Macaca fascicularis: one gene and its partners. The protein of the gene in region 2 interacts with the protein of the main gene of each other region in a biochemical or structural test. Links are inferred from orthologs where the notes say so. Each region holds a gene or a part of one and is shown on either strand. Other genes may lie near its edges.

What was found.
Region 1: of the proteins of AURKB (region 2) and RACGAP1, one has a biochemical effect on the other in vitro, tested with the Homo sapiens proteins (2 studies listed by BioGRID and IntAct). The link is inferred for Macaca fascicularis from reciprocal best matches to the Homo sapiens genes AURKB and RACGAP1.
Region 3: the proteins of AURKB (region 2) and CDCA8 form a complex in vitro, tested with the Homo sapiens proteins (3 studies listed by BioGRID, with this or other methods). The link is inferred for Macaca fascicularis from reciprocal best matches to the Homo sapiens genes AURKB and CDCA8.

What each region holds. Positions count from the first base shown.
Region 1 is NC_088385.1:56,844,405-56,849,073, forward strand, and holds the start of RACGAP1 (rac GTPase-activating protein 1), read right to left. Parts: upstream 3,163-4,669; 5' UTR 2,948-3,162; coding exon 2,889-2,947; intron 2,669-2,888; coding exon 2,580-2,668; intron 1-2,579.
Region 2 is NC_088390.1:8,287,970-8,292,810, reverse strand, and holds the start of AURKB (aurora kinase B), read left to right. Parts: upstream 1-1,620; 5' UTR 1,621-1,666; intron 1,667-1,948; 5' UTR 1,949-1,973; coding exon 1,974-2,021; intron 2,022-4,288; exon of another isoform or gene 4,289-4,349; coding exon 4,350-4,452; intron 4,453-4,554; coding exon 4,555-4,609; intron 4,610-4,809; coding exon 4,810-4,841. UniProt on the Homo sapiens protein: Serine/threonine-protein kinase component of the chromosomal passenger complex (CPC), a complex that acts as a key regulator of mitosis.
Region 3 is NC_088375.1:197,227,431-197,232,084, forward strand, and holds the start of CDCA8 (borealin), read right to left. Parts: upstream 3,163-4,654; 5' UTR 3,080-3,162; intron 2,983-3,079; 5' UTR 2,968-2,982; coding exon 2,874-2,967; intron 2,752-2,873; coding exon 2,623-2,751; intron 1-2,622.

The DNA of each region.
Region 1 (4,669 bases), on a different chromosome or scaffold from region 2:
GGGATTCTACCCTATAGCTAAAGCTCAGCTCAAACCCTTTCCCCCATAACACCATTTAGTCATCCCTTTCCCTCAATTCAAAAATGCTAAAAGCCCTGATAGGTTCTCACAAAATATTTGCTGAATGAACCTGAGTATTAAGATCTCTTATTCCACACTCTAGTCCCCACCACACTCTAAAGTAATCCATCTTCTGAGATGATGTGACCTCAAAGAGAAGCCTAATTAGTATGCCATTGTGGTTACTGAGCTGGTACCAGATGATAGGGTCATGCAGCAGCTATTAGAGACAGAAAATAGAATATTGTTTTGAAAGGCCTGTAAGTGGATAAGAGCTATTAAAAACATCAATCAATTCAAAGAAAATATTGAATGGCATAAGCAAGATACCACAGTAAGTACTATAGAAATAAAAAAAAGTTCAAGACACAGTTCTTACATTACTTTAACACCAGTAAGGCTGACTCGAGAACAACATTTACTAAATTAGGTATTAATGAAAGTCTGAAATAGGAGAGGATGGTAATACAAAGAGAAGCTGGTATAGAATAATTCCCTTAGATCACATGTCAGTACCATCAGCCCCATTTTTCTTTCTTGCTAATTTATTTCCCAGACAGTTCCTCTATTAGCACCTCCTTTTTCTCCCCAGTTCGCCACCCCATCTCAATCCTTTATTCTTTCCCCCGGGGAGATGGAGTCTCACTCTGTCACCCAGGCTTTAGTGCAGTGGCACAATCATAGTTCACTGTAGCCTCAAACTCCTGGGCTCAAGCAATCCCTTCAGCCTCCTGAGTATCTGGGACCATAGGCGTGTGTCACCACACCCAGCTAATTCTTTTGTTTTTGAAATAGGGTCTCGCTCTGTCCTAGGTTGGAGTACACCAGTGTGATCTCAGCTCACTGCAACCTCCGCCTTCCCAGCCATCCTCCCACCTCAGCCTCCGAGGTAGCTGGGATCACAGGAGCATGCCACCACACCAGCTGTTTCTTTTTCTTTTTCTTTTTTTTTTCTGTAGAGATGGGGTTTTTGTGGTCAGGCGCTCAAACCTGTAATCCCAGCACTTCGGGAGGAGGCTGTGGTGGGTGGATCATTTGAGGTCAGGAGTTCAAGACCAGCCCGGCCAACATGACAAAACCCCATCTCTACTAAAAATACAAAAATTAGCTGAGTGTGGTGGCAGACGCTTATAATCCCAGCTACCTGGGAGGCTGAGGCAGGACAATTGCTTGAGCCCAGAAGGTGGAGGTTGCAGTGAGCCGAGATCACGCCACTGCACTCCAACCTGGGTGACAGAGTGATATTCCATCTCAAAAAAAAAAATAAAACCAGAGATGGGGTTTTGCCATGTTGCCCAGGCTGGTCTCAAACTCCTGGACTCAATCGATCCACTCATCTCAGCCCTACAAAGTGCTAAGATTATAGGCATGAGCCACTATGCCCGACCGCTAATGTTTTCAGAGACAGTCTTGCTATGTTGCCCAAGCTGGTCTCAAACTCCTGGCATCAAGTGATTCTCCTGCCTCAGCCTCCTGAGTAGCTGGGATTACAGGTGCAAGCCACCAAACTTGGCTCTCAATCATTAATTACTCAGCATCAAATATATGAATTAGGTGAAAGCAGATGCCTAGTATCTCCTTCAAAAAGAAATTGTGGACTGGGCCTGGTGGCTCATGCCTATAATCCCAGCACTTTGGGAGGCAGAAGTGAGAGGATTGCTTGAGGCCAAGAGGTGGACACCAGCCTGGGTAAAATAGGGAGACCTTATCTCTATAAAAAATTTTGAAAAAGTAGCAGGGCATGGTGGTGCAACCTGGGAGACAGAGTGACATTCTTTAAAAAAAAGAAAAAAGAAAAAAGAAAGAAGAAATTATGACTTTTTCCCACTTCAACTGAAAATGCTTTTATAGAACACAAAGAAAATCCAGGATAAAAAGTATAGCCAACTGCTACTCTAAAGAAAAAAGCAATATCCTAGTAAATTTTTCCCAGTTCATGGCACAGAAAATAGTGCCAACTATTCAGCAGAAAAAGAATCTTGATAATAAAAAAGCGGCCAGGCACAGTGGCTGACGCCTGTAATCCCAGCACTTTGGGAGGCCGAGGCAGGCGGATCACCTGAGGTCAGGAGTTTGAAAATAGCCTGGTTAACATGCAAAACCCTGTCTCTACTAAAAATACAAAAAATTAGCCGGGCTTGGTGGCATGTGCCTGTAATCCCTGCTACTCGAGAGGCTGAGACAGGGAATCGCTTGAACCTGGGGAGCAGAGGTTGCAGTGAGCCGTGATGTCGCCACTGCGCTCCAGCCTGGGTGACAGAGAGAGACTCCATCTCAAAAAATAAATAAAGATAATAAAAAAGCCTGGCTAAAACCTATTAAGAGCAGCTACAGAAAAGAATTTTAGTGACCATTTAGAATGAGTGCCTGTTAGGCTTTGACCACGTAAGTGACCACTGCTTTATTTTTAGGTAACCCAAATGAAAAACAACTTTAAGACTGGAAAATACTTCAGCTTTGTAAAAATCCCAAATTTGAAATCTGTTTTTCCTTGGACAGGCCAGCTCAGAATGACTTACGGAGTTCATTTCCTTCACTGAGAATCTCTGCCCGGCGCACAAGCTGCTCAAACAGATTCCGCATATTCAGCATCATAGTATCCATCTTTCTGCCAAGAAATCAAATATACATTAGGGGTCCTGCCTTCTCACCCACGACAGAAGATTCTATAGCAATCCAGCCATCAGTGACCAACATCTGGACTCTTCCATTTATAACTACCATTATAAGAATCTCAAGCTAACAACAGATGTTTTGTGTGATTCTTATTATAAAAACAAACTTGGAATATTTAAGACTCATCTTAAAATTAGAAAACCATTTCAGACCTTTGAATATAACAGCCCCTCCAATCACTTTGTAGCAGAAAACAAATAGGAAAAAGCATGTCAGTTGATTACTAAGTGACTGACCAACAACAAAATGTGGTTCTTCAAGTCAAGCCTATTGATTAATATAATACTTTTACCAGTTTATTCCTTGTGGGCCTTGAAGACCTACAATGTGACTTAAAATATCTATTTTTAATTTCATTTTTAGCTAATGCCCCTGTTGCAACTGCCTTTTAAAATGCAGGACATGGTCAGCACATTTCCTACCAACAGCACAGATGACGTCACACGAATGATTAAGTGGGAAAATCGCCAGCTCAGCAGCACAAGAATTATTTCTGTAATGCAGGGCTTCTCTGCTAGGCTGTGTGGAGGAACTATGTCTAACAAATTTATACTAAGTAGAGGCAAAGGATTATGTTGTACCACATTCTGGCATCAGAGAGACAATACACCACCTTCATAGTTCGAAGGGCAAAGCAAAAATCATTTGCTACTGTGTTCTGTATAGTGAATTTCAGGCTTCGTATTTCCCCCCAAAGGCCTGCTGATACTACAGAAAAAACAGTGTCATTACAGGCAGTTATATTCCAAATAGATTTTAACTGGGAACACTTTGAGGAAATAAGATCTTCACTTAACAGTCAAGAAAGAAACACATTAACTGGATGTTATGAAAACTATCAAGGAAATGAAATAAAAAGTCAAATTTCATTAGAAATGTAATGTCCTCAGAAATACCATTAAAGGATTCTTATGTTTCTCTTAACCAATGCTTCAACATTCTAGTCCAGGTCCTTATTTCCTAAATAAAATTTTAAGAACTCTTATGAAGGGTTAGTGATTTTGCAATGTTTATAAGATTGTACCACAAGCTATGAGAGCAAGAAAAAATATATTAAAAAGCACAAAGGACAAAGAATATATGAACATAGGCTGGGCACGGTGGCTCACACCTATAATCCCAGCACTTTGGGAGGCCAAGGTGGGTGGATCACTTGAGGTCAGGAGTTCGAGACCAGCCTGGGCCAACATGGCGAAACCCTGTCTCTAGTAAAAACACAAAAATTAGCTGGGCACAGTGATGTGTGCCTATAATCCCAGCTACTTGGGAGGCTGAGGCAGGAGGATTGCTTGAACCTGGGAGGCAGAGGTTGCAATGAGCTGAGATGGTGCCACTGCACTCCAACCTGGGTGCCAGAGCAAAAAAAAAAAAAAGAATATATAAACATAAGATATTTTCTATTAAGTGCTGCAGAATTATTCATTTATATTCATATGATAATTGCTATAATAGAAAAAAAGTTTTCAGTTCCAAGCCTGGATGCAATATATACCTGAATCAGGGCCGGAAACCAAGATTTTCAAATGGCAAGTATCTGTTCCAAGCTACATAATCACAGCAAGCTGCTAAGCAACCAGACCAACAAATGTATTACAAAGATCTTTCTCTAAACTAAGAACAAAACTAAAAGGATAGCATTAAAACCGGCAGGAAGAGCTGTGGAATTCATAGAGACTCCATGGATTTAACAATATAACGAAATAAGCAACATACCCCAAGTGCTACAGGACAGAAATGGGCAGGACATTGGGTAGTCAATTCAAATGTTGGTTTCCTTTGGCTCTCATGAGGTAAAAATGGAAGACTCTAATCAGTAGTTTTAATATAAGGTATTGCTTTCTATCATCTCGGCACTCACTCACATATTGTGCGACTATAAGACAGTGAGCTCAGTACCAAGCAAAACTTCTAATCTGTCCAAGAATTCAAAAAG
Region 2 (4,841 bases):
AGGTTGTGGTGAGCCGATATGGCGCTATTGCACTCCAGCCTGGGCAACACAGCAAAACTTCGTCTCAAAAAACAAAAACAAACAAACAAACAAAAAAAGAAGTGGTATTTAATTAGGTCTTCATCAACCTAGGGATTTGGGGTTGTCAGCAACAGAAACTACTACAGAAACCGACTACTTAGACTGGAGAGACAGGTGGTCCCCTAAGGGAAAATAAGAGTGTTAGGAGAAAGGAGAAGAGTGCTGGACAGTACATACTTAACAAGTATCCACTGGTTATTTCATAGAAGACCCAGAAATGTATTTATTTACAGTAATGTATTCATTACCCAGTAATGAAATCTGAGGGTTAGGAAGAGCAGAAAAGAAGGGAGTGTGGCAGGAAGGAGGAAAAATCAAAGTGGGCCCAAACAACATGGCAGCTAACAGAGATCTTGCAAGGAAAGGTCTACTCGTGGAAAACTCCTCCCAGGAATGTCAGAACTTTTAATAACGACATAGTAATGACACAAGAATAAACACACAGCCAAATGAGCAAACAACAGAATACAAAGTCTAGACATAGACACAAGTAAATATGCTAACATTATATATCAAGGGCAGCATTTAAATTCTATTGGGGCAGTTTGTTTAACAAATGGTGTTGACATAACTGGCTCTCCATCGCGCAGAAGTTAGACCCCAGCTCATACATGTATAAGGATAAACTCCAGTTATATTAAAGATTTAATTTTTTTTATAAAAAGAAGAAGGCCAGGCGCGGTGGCTCACGCCTGTAATACCAGCATTTGGGGAAGCCCAGGCGGGTGGATCACCTGAGGACAGGAGTTCGAGACCAGATTGGCCAACATAGTGAAAACCCGTCTCTACCAAAAATACAAAAATTCCGGGCGCCTGTAATCCCAGCCACTCGGGTGGCTGAGGCACGAGAATCGCTTGAAACCGGGAGGCAGAGGTTGCAGCAAGCCGAGATAGCACCACTATACTCCAGCCTGGGCGACAGAGAGAGACTCTGTCTCAAAAAAGGAAAGGGGAGGGGAGGGGAGGGGAGGGGAGGGGAGGGGAGGAGAGGGGAGGGGAGGAGAGGGGAGGGGAGGGAAGGGGAGGGGAGGGGAGGGGAGAAGAGAAGGGGAGGGGAGGAGAGGGGAGGAGAGGGGAGGGGAGGGGAGGGGAGGGGAGGGGAGAAGAGAAGGGGAGGGGAGGGGAGGGAGGGGAGAAGAGGAGGGGAGGGGAGGGGAGGGAGGGGAGAAGAGAAGGGGAGGGGAGGAGAGGGGAGGGGAGGGGAGAAGAGGAGGGGAGGGGAGAAGAGGAGGGGAGGGGAGAAGAGGAGGGGAGGGGAGAAGAGGAGGGGAGGGGAGGGGAGGGGAGGGGAGGGGAGGGGAGGGGAGGGGAGGGGAAGGGAAGGGAAGTAAAGAAAAGAAAAAGGAAGATAATTCACTGGGGGAATGTGGGGAAACCTTCCTAAGCTGGAAGCCAAGCGTGCCTCTTCCGTTGGGTTCCCATTACTTACGTCACAGGACATCGAGCCAATGGGAACTAGGCATGGGCGACGAGCTCACCCAATGGGGCCGGGGCGGGAGATTTGAAAGGTCCTCGGCCAGGGCGTGGCGTGGCAGATTCAGTTGTTTGCGGGCGGCCGGGAGAGTAGCAGTACCTTGGACCTCAGGTGAGCTGGCCTCCTGTCGCAGGCCTTGCGCCAGGAGTGGGCAGATGATCAGGCAGATCAGAGGGTCCGTTGGGCTGGCCTGCGCGCACACTGCAGGGCTGGAAGGAGGTAGGGATGATAGCAGGGTGGGGGCGGTGAGACAAGCGCCCGGATTGGAGCTAGTGTGCTGACCTGCTCCCTTTTACCAGCTCGGGCTAGCGCTTCCGGCTTGATCGGTCCAACCCCTACCTCTCTCTCTCTCTTTTTCTCTGCTTCTCACGGCTGTTTCCCTTCTCGGCCCAGCTCTCCTCCCCCTTTCCCTCTAAGGATGGCCCAGAAGGAGAACGCCTACCCCTGGCCCTACGGCCGGCAGACGGTAAGGCCCTTCCCTCCTTCCCCGCGCCCACATGACCCCGCATGGCGAGTTCCTGCTGGGAAACTTGAGATCGTGCAAAGAGCAATCCCTTATGCACTTTCTTTCCCGTTATGCTCCAAAGTACGCGCCCCAAGTTTGATGACAGAACCTGGTCTGGGCATTTGTAGCCAGCCACATCCTGTTAGGTGCTGCCAACTTGAATCTGACCAGCCAGTGACTACCAGCCGGTGAGGGCCTCTGCAGGGTTCATCACACACAAGTGATATCTGGGACTGAGCAGGCAGGGCCTGGCCTTCAGGCCATGATTCCCAACCCATGTCCTGAAAAAAATAAACTAGACAGCAAATATAAATAGACTCTAAAAGGATATAAAGTTACTGTTTAAAAGGTCCAGGAAAAGTCTAAATTATAATTTGGAATTAATGAGTAAGTTGAGGTAAGGATCTCAATGAATCTAAATGGATTTATTTCCCAGTTGTCCAGACAGATTTCATTGAGGGGCCTCCTCTCTGATTTGAAATGCCACCTTTATTATATATATAAATTCCCACATATATGTGGGTCTATTTCTGGACTGTATTTTATTCAACTTGCTTATTTGTAGATCTGTACCAATATCACTATTTGGGAAGAGGTTTTTAGGGGCATAGGGGCTCTCTTCTCTTGGCTGAAGAAGAAGGAAGGGGCCCTGCATAGGCTTTGCTCCCTGTTTGTGGAGCTCGGGCTTCCTGGAGAATCTGCCTGTCCCCTTGTTCATCAGCTCCCTCCCTCACGGAGCAATGAGTGAGGCTGTCAGGAATGGAGTCTGAATGAGAAACCATTGTCACTTTTACCTTGGTCACTCCTAAAAGAAAGTGTATCTATTATTTTGAGAAGCTGAAAGTGAGGCCAGGTGCAGTGGCTCATACCTGTAATCGTGGGAGGCTGAGGCAGGTGGATCACCTGAGGTCAGGAGTTCAAGACCAGCCTGGCCAACATGGTGAAACCCTGTCTCTACTAAAAATACAAAAATTAGCCAGGCATGGTGGCGGACGCCTGTAATCCCAGCTACTCAGGAGGCTGAGGCAGAAGAATTGCCTGAACCTGGGAGGTGGAGGTTGCAGTGAGCCGAGATGGCGCCATTGCACTCCAGCCTGGGTAATAGAGCAAGACTCCATCTCAGAAGAAAAAAAAGAAGGTGAAAGTGAGAAGTGGTCCAGGGCCATCAGAGTAGCTCTTAGTGTCCTTAAAGGCTGTTCTTGCAAAGGTGTAACCCCTGGTTATTGCTATAACATTCAAGGCCTCAAGCTTCTTATCTAAGCCTTAATAAACTAAGCTTTTTGGGAGACTTTGAGAATACCTCTGTCTAAACCCCTTGAATTGTGGGTGTTCACAGTAGACACCCAGCTCTCTACTGTGGTGTAGGTGAGAGGCTAGATGAATGGCTGTGGTGTTATGGACAGGACTTATACAAGTTGAACAGCTTCATGCCTGAAAAGTGTGGGCCAGGGCCAAAGAGGTGAAATGTTAGGTGTTGGTGTGAGTCTTTTGCCCCTTATCTTAGGCCTACTTAGGTTATTTTTTAATTTTTTAATTTTTATTTTTTAGAGACAGAGTCTCACTCTGTCGCCCAGGCTGGAGTGCAGTGGCGCAATCTCAACTCACTGCAACCTCTGCCGCCCGGGCTCAAGCAATTCTCCTGCCTCAGCCTCTCAAGTAGCTGGGATTACAGGACCCGCACCCAGCTAATTTTTTTTTTTTTTTTTGAGACGAAGTCTAGCTCTGTCGCCCAGGCTAGAGTGCAATGGCACAATCTCGGCCCACTGCAACCTCTGCCTCCTAGGTTCAAGCGATTCTCCTGCCTCAGCCTCCTGAGTAGGTGGGATTACAGGCACTCGCCACCACGCCCAGCTAATTTTTGTATTTTTAGTAGAGTGGGGTTTCACTGTGTTGGCCATGCTGGTCTCGAACTCCTGACCTCGTGATCCGCCTGCCTCAGCCTTCCAAAGTGCTGGGATTACAAGCGTGACCCACCACACCCAGCCGCACTGGGCTAATTTTTTGTATTTTTAGTAGAGACGGGGTTTCACCATGTTGGCCAGGCTGGTCTTGAACTCCTGACTGCGTGAGCCACTGCGCCCGGCCCTAGGTTGTTTATGAATAACCCATTTTAACATGGGACTGTGAGCAGAGGCTGGGAGGCAAAACTGTCACATCAGTGTTTCTCTTTGAATTGGGGGTGGGCGGGTGGGTGGCTCTTTAGCAAGGGGCTGAAATACTGCTTGCAGCACATTCCACCCGGGTCATCAGACAAAGGCACCCTCAGAGCTACCCCCTGCTCCTTCTCAGGCTCCGTCTGGCCTGAGCACCCTGCCCCAGCGAGTCCTCCGGAAAGAGCCTGTCACCCCATCTGCACTTGTCCTCATGAGCCGCTCCAATGTCCAGCCCACAGGTACCTGGGGCAAGGGGGAGAGGACTGATGAGCGTCTATGGGAGGGTTTAGGGATGAGAAGGTCATCCCTGCTCTCATTCAACTTACCTGTTGTCTCCTTAGCTGCCCCTGGCCAGAAGGTGGTGGAGAACAGCAGTGGGACACCCAACATCTTAATGTAAGTGCCCCAAGCCTTGGGGTGGAGGGAGGTGAGGGGACAGTGAATGGGCAGGAAGTCGGGAAGATAAAACCTAAGGGCAGGAGGAGTAGAGATGAAGAGAAGTGGGGCGGGGGACAGGATGAGATGAGGAAGCGGAGAGAAAGCAAACCTCTTAATAACCAAAACCGGTTCTGAGTTGCCTTCCCCCACTTTCTAAGCAGGCGGCACTTCACAATTGATGACTTTGAGA
Region 3 (4,654 bases), on a different chromosome or scaffold from region 2:
TACTCCTGCCTTGGCCTCCCAAAGTGCTAGGATTACAGGTATGAAGCCCCACCCCATGCCCTGCCCTCTGCTTATTTTTCTTTAAAAAAAAAATGTGTTTTTATTTTAATTATTTTTTTAAAGTTTAAAGATAGGGTCTTGCTATGTTGCCCAGGCTGGTCTCAAATTCCCGGGCTCAAGCAATCTACCTGCCTCGGCCTCCCAAAGTGCTGGGATTACAGGTGTGAGCCACTGTGCCTAGCCTGCTTATTTTTCTATCTCAGCAGGTTGCTGCAAAGTGTGGAGTAAGTTGCTCACCCTCATCATACCCAGTAACCACTCAGAGCTTTTTAAACAGTCCATCCTTGCCTTGGACTGAATTCCAGAGATGATATCCTTTGCTTCTGGCAAAAATTTAGCAGTCAATAGAAGTACAGTAAATGTGTGTTGAATGAAAAGGTCTTTGTGAGATTTACATGTAGAATAAAAAGTTAGGTTAGATCCTCCTGCTAGAAACCCTCACAGTATCTTGTAAAACAGTTAAGATCTCAGGCTATGAAACCAGAATACCTGGGTTCAAACAGACTATTCCACTAACTAGCTTATGAGGCCTTGAGCAAAGTATCCAATTTCTCTGTGCCTTAATCTTGTCATTTAGAAAAATAGGGATATTATTAGTTATGAAGAAAAATTAGTTAATATATGTAAAACACTTGGTACAATGCCCATCCGGCATAGAAATCACAATATGCTCACTGACAACTACTCTATTCTATCTCCTTTGTAGTACCTATACTTTTAATTACATAATTGTATGTGGATTTTTCTAATAGCTCTTTTCTACTAACCTGTATGTTTCTGAAGGCAGAGACAATGTCTGTTTTATTCCCCAGTGCATCTTTAGCACCTAGCACTGTGACTCACACATGCTCAGTATTTGTAGAAATGAGCAAATGAATGGCTTAATATTAATAAATAAAAGGACAAGTCAAAAGGATCATTCAACGTCTAATATGTGAACAGAACATGCATTTCTATCCAGCAAGGAGACTACATGCTGGATAATTAATAATAAGGAAAACTTTTGCAACCCAGCAGAAAAGTACAGCCTCCTGCATTTCTCTGGACATTTAATAAGGGAGTGGGGAAGCAGGCTGGGATTTTTCTCTGGCCAGGAAAACTGATGTGCCTTTTTTTTTTTGAGATGGAGTTTCATTCTTGTTGCCCAGGCTGGAGTGCAATGGCGGGCTCTTGGCTCACCGCAACCTCCACCTCCCAGGTTCAAGCGATTCTCCTGCCTCAGCCTCCTGAATAGCTGGGATTAGAAGCATGCGCCACCACACCCGGCTAACTTTTTTTATTTTTAGTAGAGACAGGGTTTCTTTCTTTTTTTTTTTTTTTTGTGAGATGGAGTCTCTCTCTGTCGCCCAGGATGGAGTGCAGTGGCCGGATCTCAGCTCACTGCAAGCTCCGCCTCCTGGGTTTACGCCATTCTCCTGCCTCAGCCTCCGGAGTAGCTGGGACTACAGGCACCCGCCACCACGCCCGGCTAGTTTTTTGTATTTTTTTTAGTAGAGACGGGGTTTCACCGTGTTAGCCAGGATGGTCTCGATCTCCTGACCTCCTGATCCACCCGTCTCGGCCTCCCAAAGTGCTGGGATTACAGGCTTGAGCCACCACGCCCGGCCGAGACAGGGTTTCTCCATGTTGATCAGGCTGGTCTCGAACTCCTGACCTCAGGTGATCTGCCCGCCTCAGCCTCCCAAAGTGCTGGGATTACAGGCATGAACCACTGCGCCCAGCCTGATGTGCCCATTTTTAAGTTAGCAATTTCCATAAGCTGCATAAGGAGCTGCTTTGGGTTATTCTTTCATCTGAGCTCTGGTTAACTAACCATGTCATTTATTCATTCATTTTTAAATGGGTTGGGTAAAATATACATATTTTTTAAAAATACTATTTTCTGGCTGGGCACAGTGGCTGACTCCTGTAATCCCAGCACTTTGGGAGGCTGAGGCATGCAGATCACTTGAGGTCAGTAGTGCGAGACCAGCCTGGCCAACATGGTGAAGCCTCGTCTCTACTGAAAATACAAAAATCAGCAGGGCATAGTGGCAGGAGACCGTAATCCCAGCTACTCCGGAGGCTGAGGCAGGAGAATCACTTGAATACAGAAGGTGGAGGTTGCAGTGAGCCAAGATCGCACCACTGCACTGCACTCCAGCCTGGGTGACAGAGTGAGACTCTGTTCCAAAAAAATAAAATAAAATTCCTGATGTGTGAAAATTATGTGAAATTCACATTTCAGTGTATCCACAACTAAAATTTTATTGGAATACAGCCCATCCATGCCCATTCACTATAGCTGTTTTGGACCTGTAACAGCAGAGCTAAGTTGTCCGACAGAGACCCCTCCCACCGGCTCAAGTAGCCTAAAATATTTGCTACCTAGGCCTTTAGAGAAAAGGATGGAGACACATGACTTACGGAAGTGAGACAGAGAGTGAAAGGGTCTGCAATTTTCCATAAGTGGTCATGTCAGATTTCATTAAAAGGTGACATCTGAGCGAGTCCTTTCTGAAGGGTGTTACCTAACCCCACGGGGCTCCCGGCCTCCGCCCAGGGAAGCTCTCCAGCTCTTACCGAAGTAGTCAAGCCAGTTCATCTGGCGCAGCGCCTTGGGGAGCCGCAGGATCTCGATGTTGTAGAGGTTATCCACCTCCTTGAGGAGGTTCTGCCTGTCTGACTCAATTTGCTTGATTCGTATTTCCACTGCGGGAGGGCAGAGCCGACAGGACACGGGTCACGGGGCGGGTGAATGTGTGCAGCTCGTGTCCCCACCCGCCAGCATCCCGCGACCGCCCCAGGAGGCCGCGACGGCCTGGCCCCTTTACCTTCACGGTCGAAGTCTTTCAGAAAGGAGGCGAGCTTCCGCCTCCGTAAGGAGTTGATCTTGGCCACCCGACTACTGCCCTTCCTAGGAGCCATGGCGCTCGGCGGAGGCTGCGGGGAGCGGCGGAGATGGGGCAGGGAGGCAAGGAACCAGGTAGGGACCAGGAGGGCGGATGGGGACCACCCGAATAAGTCGCCAGGCACGTACCTCCGGTCTCGCGACAAGGACTGAGTAAAACCTCGCTATGCCAGTGAGAGAGAGCGGCTCTACCGTCAACCGCCACCTAATTCAAACTCCACAGCCACAGGCTGACGAATGAGAAACCGCCGTCCCACAGTATCCAATCACAAGCAAGTTCCTACCTGCCCGGGGTCTCCCGCCCAATGCGCTCCCTATAGCCGGAGTGCGTCAGCGCGGGCGCCGCCGTCGCGGGTGCTCCTGGGAGTTGTGGTCCAGGCTTGTTTCCCCGCCCTCCCCACCAACCCACCCGGCTCCGCCCTGGCCGGCTGCAAACTATACAAACTGCGACTCCCGGCAGGCCTTGCGGCGGGTCCTCATTACCCCAATCTTTGAAGGGCTAGGAGCGGACTAGGTCAGGTCGGCTGTAGGATTCTGCTCCGGGGCCGGCGGCTGCTTCTTCCAGGCCTGGCTGCCACTGAGTAGCCGAGGGGCCGCCGTGACACTCTGACTGATTGACTGGTTGGCTGCCTACGTCGGCGCTCCTCAGGGCCCCAAGCTCCCCAGGCCGAACTTGGGGCAAGTGGAGGGTCGGCGGAGACAGAGCAGCCCCGACAGGGTTTGGAAGGGGTCGAGGCGGAATGACAGGGGAGCGGGGCCGGGGTGCAGGCTTTGGGGTGGGCGCGCCAGCCCGTGGCCAGTTTGGGCAGCGAGTGGGGAGAACCCTCTTGTTCCTCGCTTGCCCGCGGGCCGGCCACTCCCGTCCAGTTCGCGTCTTGGCGCCTCGACTGGGTGTGCAGCGCGGGGCCGCGACTTCAGGTGCGAGTAGTGGCGCTTGGCAGCTGCCCACGCGGTGACTGCAGCGTGAGCCGCGGCCACCACACTCCAGGGAGCCCAGGGCAGGAGGCAGCTCTGGGTGTTCTGGCCGTGGGCCTGGGAATGGGCGTGTAGACCTCGAACCCCGCTGAGCCGCAGTCCTGTCGGAAGTGCTAACTGTGCATCTTTGCATCTGCCCACAGCCACAGGGTTGGATTGCTCAAGGGTTGTGCTGAGACCCAGCAAGGCTAGAGGCTAGTTTCGAAGCTGTAGCTCAGGCTGAGTCTCAAGGCGGGCGACGACTGGACGGCCAGACCGGCGAGCTCTTGACAGGTTTGTGGCCTGATTGTTTGGATTTGGTGCTTTTCACCTGTGGATGCGGAATGAAGCCATGTCAGAGGGGTTGTTTGTGTTTAAGCGTGCATGTTATAGGCTATGGGAGTGATAATCTTGCCTCTCCCCCTCTGAGTTCAGGAACAATCAAAGAAATAAGCAAAGGTGCCAAGCAGGCTCCTGATGGGCACCAGCGAGCTTGGGGACAGAGCAGTCCAAGCATAGAAACCCTGGCAAGCCTGGCCCTTCCTAGAAAGTCCTTTCTCTCTCTCTTCCACCCTGGTTTGTTGCTCCATATACAAAAAATATTTGAATGTCGCTCTTCCGCCCAAGGTCAGCCCTGGGCAGTGGGTGGTGGGGGTGACACCCGAGTCTGCTGGGTGCCTAAGGATCTCCATCAGTTAGATGGCCAAGATGAGAGGGGACGACAACCCGTACCTCATGTAGGCTTTCCCG